2 linked regions of the Nothobranchius furzeri genome follow. The protein of the gene in region 1 interacts with the protein of each later gene in a biochemical or structural test. Links are inferred from orthologs where the notes say so. Each region holds a gene or a part of one and is shown on either strand. Other genes may lie near its edges.

The links.
Region 2: the proteins of CASP8 and FADD-like apoptosis regulator (region 1) and dedd1 form a complex in vitro, tested with the Homo sapiens proteins (2 studies listed by BioGRID). The link is inferred for Nothobranchius furzeri from reciprocal best matches to the Homo sapiens genes CFLAR and DEDD2.

The regions. Positions count from the first base shown.
Region 1 is NC_091754.1:17,632,829-17,635,291, forward strand, and holds part of CASP8 and FADD-like apoptosis regulator, read right to left. Parts: intron 909-2,463; coding exon 859-908; intron 772-858; coding exon 741-771; intron 538-740; coding exon 491-537; intron 401-490; coding exon 322-400; intron 1-321. UniProt on the Homo sapiens protein: Apoptosis regulator protein which may function as a crucial link between cell survival and cell death pathways in mammalian cells. Acts as an inhibitor of TNFRSF6 mediated apoptosis.
Region 2 is NC_091745.1:74,797,122-74,801,341, reverse strand, and holds the start of dedd1 (death effector domain-containing 1), read right to left. Parts: upstream 2,957-4,220; 5' UTR 2,852-2,956; intron 2,546-2,851; 5' UTR 2,384-2,545; exon of another isoform or gene 2,377-2,383; intron 947-2,376; 5' UTR 917-946; coding exon 445-916; intron 333-444; coding exon 210-332; intron 1-209. UniProt on the Homo sapiens protein: May play a critical role in death receptor-induced apoptosis and may target CASP8 and CASP10 to the nucleus. May regulate degradation of intermediate filaments during apoptosis.

The sequences.
Region 1 (2,463 bases):
TTCTTATTCACTAAAAATCATATTTTAAACTGAAATATTTATCCTAATTGTAGTCACTCAAGCCACTTGTACAATAAGAAAATTAGCCCTGTAGAATAAATTTAATTCCTTAATTCAGTTTTCCACAAAAATGCAAATCACAAAACCAAATTACTGCATAGGCATTAAAGCAGCAATCTGGAGTGTTCCCCCTTTCAGGAATTACGTATGAGTTTTTCAGAAATCCATAAAGTGACAGCATTAACCTGTTCTGTGAAAGAATGTGAGCGATTTGTCAAAATTCTATTTTGTTTTACCTCATTATAATGTTTTAGGTCTCACCTCCACCATTTCCCACACAGTCTATAATTACACAGACTCCTCTTGGATTAGTGTTCAGGTTGTACCGTTCCATCGGACTCTGCAGGAAGAAAGCACAAACCTGTTAAACATGCACTTTAAATAAGTACATAAATATATTTAATATGCTTTATGACTGGTTAATATTTACCCCGCAGGCTGCCTCTTTGTGTACAGGAACCACCATGTTTACTCTGGCTGTTGAAAGAGTGATGCGTTCAAATGTGCAACAATTCAAAACACCTGGGCGTTCTGTGGGGATTTCCTGTTAGTTACCGTAAAACCCCCATGTGACATATTATAATTTTGAATAATCGGTAATCTGAAATGGTATTTCACCAAACATTAACACCTATAAAACCGCATCATCAGGATGTCTTTAACTTTAAAGCTTGCCTTACCTATGTGCGCGGGCTGACTTTGTTTGATTTCCTAGATGAAACATATGCGAAGTTGGTTTTATTTTTATATCAGTTTGAGAAAAATCTGGGAGACTTTTAATGTTTGTACACTACGCACAGCAGCTTGGCAGCTTTGCCGTTGAGCTAACGGCTCTGCAGATGGCCCAGCTGTAAACGACACAGAAAAGTAAACAAAAGTAATAAATAACACAAAAAATAATGTGAAAAACAATTTGCTAACTTTTTCTTTAGTTTATTTACTTATAACATGGGGAAACTATAAAAACATTTATTTGAAAAATTGCAGTGACAGTAAGAATGACATCTGGTGGTAAAATGTAGGTACTGCGATCCATGTATCAAAACAAATGAGTCCACTTTCACCCACTTCCCCTTCCCCTTAATGAGTTTCATGCTGGTTGCCAGTTACAGATCAGCCACCAGAACATTCAAGATGAAAAGTGAAGACGAGTGTAAGTTGATAAGTAAATAAATACATTCCACTGTAATGTAGAATTGTTCATAATTGAAATGGGAAGTCTGAGAAATTGTCAGAGTCGACAATCGTTTTTCTAATTCACTGTTAAAATTGTTAGCTCAACATTAGCCTCTAGCCTTCTTTACTCATTAAAGGCGGCGTAGAGATGCCATGGCTCTTTGTTTACAAATTACTTCTGGGCTGCTCCTTTTACTGACTTCCATTCTGTGCCAGCCTGTGTCAAACTATAAATGCTGGCGCAGTCTTTGCGTTGAACACTTGGCAACCTTGCAAGCTCACATATGTATGGCTATGGAACCAGGAAGAATGGAGTCGGGACTGTTTGGCCTAGTCCCAATACTCGTACTTCCATGCTTGCACCCCTCAAATTGGCGTTCCTGTCCAGTTTGTGAGTGCACAGGGTGTCAGGATTCTCAAGTGTGGCCCTTGGCCCCGCCCCTTTTTTCACCCTTGAGCCACACTTAGCCGAAATTCACACCGATGTGGACTTCAGCCCACAATCTATTGTTGTGTGAGGATTTTGAGAAGAATGCGGGGAAATGGCTCAAGCGCTCTTTATGAAAATATTTATTTTCAAGTACTTGTAAGCATTGAAATATTGAATATTTTATTATTGTATACACATACAGTACATACAGTTACAGTATAAAGCCTACATACCAGAGGTGTGGACTCTAGTCACATGACTTGGACTCGAGTCAGACTCGAGTCATTATTTTAATGACTTCTGACTTGACTTGATAAAATCTATAAAGACTTATGACTTGACTCGGATTTGAACCCCAATGACTTGCGACGTGAATCAACTTGCATCTGTTGACTTGATGATGACTTGAGCATATTTGCCATTTTTGAACAAAAGTGGCACGACATGGACAAAAATCGTAAATCATTTTTCGTTCTGGGTTTGATTTACTGCTAAATGAAGCAGCACTTCGTTTAGAATCAGTTTCAGTTGCACTTTCTGCTTGTTCGAGCAAATAAATGAAGCTTTAAGAAGTTTTATTTCTGGAATTTATTTATTATCATCGTCATTAAATTGAAGTTTGACAGATGACTTGATTATGACTTGAAAATTCAAAGTTAAGGACTTGGACTTGACTTGGACTTACACATCATTGACTTTGGTTTCGACTTGGACTTGGTTGTCTTTGACTCGAGACTTGACTGGAAAGACTTGTGACTTGCAAAGCAGTGACTTGGTTAGAGCCCTGCACTGAAGCC
Region 2 (4,220 bases), on another chromosome or scaffold:
TACATAGGCTCAGGTGTGGCGCTACGCCACGGATACGAAACGGCAGTGGCGCCACAGCTAACCCAAACACTCTGAACTGCAGAGTTTGACGTGTTCTGGAATCTTACGGAACGCTCCCAAATCCTAACGCTTACGCGTCCTGTGGAAAGGCCCAGTTACCTTTGTGTGTTGCTGGTTTGGTAGGCCTTGGTTCTGGACAGTGCACTCACCGGTGGTAAATGGGTTTGTGAAAGATGAGAATGGGATCTCTGTCTGTCTGCAGGTATGCTGCAGTCCAAACACCAACTCTGTTCTGTTCGTTTCATACCTCTGTCCAACTCTCTCTGGAGACACTGGGAAGACAAACAGATTATTTATAACTGAGCCATCTAAATTAACATGAATAACAAATACTTTGAGTTTTACAAAACAAACTGTAAAGAACTTTCGTTTAAAAGTCCTCACCCGTCCTCCTTCTTTTATGAGACACCAAAGGCAGCAGGTCATGACGAGTGAGGACTCTCAGCAGCTGCAGCAGTGGTTCCAGGTTGCCATCACAGAGATATCCTCGTCTCTCAAGCTCCAACAGCAGCCCAACACCACTCTTAGGCTTTATGTCCACTGACGATGGCTGGGATGCCTTGGGCTTTATCCGTCCCCACGCTTTCAGCAGCGGTGGAGTCGGTGCCAAGCCCAAGTCCTCTGGATCGTCTTCAGCAGGTTCAATAGTCCAGCCTACAGGGTCGAGAGGGTGTGGTGCAGAGTAGCTTTCATTCAAAAGGAAAGAGAGAACTTCTATATCGGTCTCTGTTAGCTGACATCCAACTATTTCAAAGATCTCATGTAGAGACAACATCCCATAGTAGTTGAGGCATTCTGTTTCATCCCAGTAGAGCGAGTCCCTGTTGGTGGGCCCTGGAAAATGCACTGTAGCCATAGTCTGGGATTGTCCACCTTCTGTCCTGAGCTGAAATTAAGAAAAAGAGGAACACAAGAATGACTTTACTGGACCATAACAAAGGACAAGATACAGATATGGAGGTAGATGCCCAGCCTCCAAACATACAGTCCACGAAAAACTATTAAAAACAAATGAGTTTAGAGCCTTAATGCTACAAGCTGAAAAATACAAATATTGCTAAAAAGCCAATGAAACAATGACATAAAGGCCCGACATTCCTTGTACATCACCCATTACCTTTCATGCCAGGGTTTAAAAATCTGACCTGTGTGTTAAATCCGATTTAGTCGAATCCTCAAAAAACACAACTTGACGTGACACACAGTCTTGCAGAAATGTTAGTACCAAGAGTAATGAATGTCTCTCAACAACGGCCACGACTAATTTAAGGTCCATATCTGTAAAGCTGGCTGAGTTACAGCAATTTGATCTTTGCTAAAACCAATTAAATGTGGCAGCAACCCTGATTCTGTGTAAGTTCAATGGTTACGTAGGATCATGAGATAACATGACCTCCCAAATGCCTCCGGGCTCCACCTTTCAGTGACAAACAAATAAACAGCTTTAATAAACATGTTAGCTTAACAGTTTCTATCTATAGCAACATTTACGTCTAGATTAATATACTTAAAGAATAATTGTTGCATTTAATTTGGTTCCTGGAGATTATCTGAAGACTGCTAACAACTCACATCCTACAGTAAGAGGCGTCCAGTGTCTAAACTTTATTCAGTACTTCATGCAAGTTTAAAACTATTTTATTTTTCTAATTGAAACAGCATATTGTAGTTTTCAACAAGAAAACTAAAATAACTTTATTTGGCACAAACTTGAATTGTAGAATTGTGCATTCTTTTTCCTGTCTTTTGGAAAAATCTCCGACCTCATGCATACTCCAGATACAACTCATAAATCTTTAGAGAAAGGGCTTGAAGGACTTCCACTTACTATTTAAGGAAAACGAGGTTCTTAAAAGCAACTTTTGTCAAAAAAAAAAAAAAAAAAGAAAAGAAGAAAACTCATTTTCAAGCTATTTTGGGAGATATTAGGAAGTTAGGAAGTTTTGGGGGATGTTAACCTAATTTAGTAATTTAGCAATATTTTAACACAATTATCAATTGTTTGAATAAACGTTCTCCAGTTTGGTTTATTTGCTGTTATTTACCCTATTTTGTTGAGCATTTTTTTAAATAATCTATTAATACTGATTGTTATTGGAAATTAAACAAAAATATAAAATATAATTAGCTTTTTTGGGGAAAATGCAACTATTTACACCATATTTTCTGACATTATTTATACTTATAGTCGACTAAGTTATAATATATATGTGAGATTTTGAAAAAATATGACATAGAAATGTATTTTCCTCGGGAGTCAGGATATAAAATGTTAATGTACGTGAGCTCAGTGTGTGTGGAGCTGAACATTCCTGCCTTTTACCGTTTCAGCTTGACGCTCTCCACACACACGAACCAGTCAGCGGTGTCGTTTTTATCTTCAGGCAAAATGTGTATGAAAGCAGCTGGAGGCTCCTGAAACGACTCGTTCCTCTTGTGTTACGGTTTTACGCTTTATACGAGTTTATGTATCCTGTCACGGTTTCTGTGGAGAAAAAAACGGTCATTAAACACCCAGCCAGGACAGCTGTTGAGCTGAGTAAGCTAAAGAGCCGAATAAGCTAAAGCTAACGGAGCCAGCGTAGGCTAATATGCTGCTATGGCGCTGTGTCCCCCTTTAGTGCATTTGTAAAAAAAAACGCGTACATTTTGTTTTAGCATTGAAACGTTACTTTATTAATGACTAACAAAAACAGAACTGTCATAAACCCCAAGGTCTGAAGATTACATTTAACAACACGTAAAAACATTCCAACAGCTAAATTTGATAAGATAATTAATAGCGCCTCACCTTCTAATGTTTGTTTCCTTTCTTTCGCTGGCGGATCTAGCAACTTCCACAGTGCCGCGTGCCCAGTGACGGCAGCACCACAACACTCGTCTATCTACCAATCACAGCCTCTTTGTTTGTTACATGACGTAAGGTCACGTTTTTACCATTTCTGATCTGCAGTCAGTTTTTCGTGCTTGTGTGGTTTTGAGCAGCCACCGCAGAAAACAGGCAGCCGATCTCAGGTCGGCTTTTTCAACAGATGTGTTTTCGGCTGTTAAGAGAAAAAACTCCGTTTTTTGGATGAAGTAAAAATAATGCAAAAAAATAAATAAATAAAATAAAAAGTAATACAAATGAAAAGTTCCACCTGTGTTGTGTAACACAAAATTCGAAGTACTCTATGTAGCCAGTAGGTGGCCCTGCCTAGAGTCAGCGAAGTAGGAAGTTTTTTCTTCTTCTCCAGCAGCCACATCACTTCCGAGATCCAGAACAGCAACAAAAGACAGCTCAGGCTGTCTGGTGAAACTTCTGCCTACATTTTGGTGAATGATTTAAGGGTTTAGCATTTTGGCAGGTATGTTGTAATTTAAATTCTTATTTTAAAAACAAGTGAAAATTACGTTGACGTTAAATAAAATCCGGAAGTAGACGTAAACATTAGCTCATAAGCTAGCATTTTACATTTACATTCAGGTTTTAAATAGACTCGTCGTGAGTATAATATTTATATTTGAAATTGCTACTTCTAGACACTGTTGTTTGGTAACGAGAGTTTCTCGGTTATCCTGTTTATTTAGTGATGTGGCACTGGCCGGGCCCTGTTTCTACTTCTTCCTGTTTCTCTAACTAAGGATCGCCATTAAACTAGAAAGACATGTAATCATTAGACAGTGATTGTTTATACACTTGAGACCGTTTTAGATTATGACGTGTCAAATGTGGCGTTTTAAAATACGAAAAATCAAAAGTTAGCTCCATTGACATTTGCGATTATTGCTTTCAAAACAGCTTAAGAACCAGGGAGGTTTACTGGGAACACGAGGAATATGAAAGATAAAATAAGAAGTGTTGGGGTTAAAACATGTGTCTACAGTAGATCTGAAGGTCAATGAAAATGGTGCAGTTATAGAAACGACCATATGTCAAGTTTTCAGTCAATATATCTTTTGGAATCCGTTTTGTGTGTGTGTGTGTGTGTGTGTGTGTGTGTGTGTGTGTGTGTGTGTGTGTGTGTGTGTGTGCTAAAGTACCTTTTTTTAATTTCTCAAATTGTTTAATCTTTGGTATTTTGTCATCGATTCTAATTTAAAAAATAGGATTTAAATGTCCACTACACTACACTACACCAGTTTCAGAAATGTTTTATGCCTGAAGGATTTATAGACTA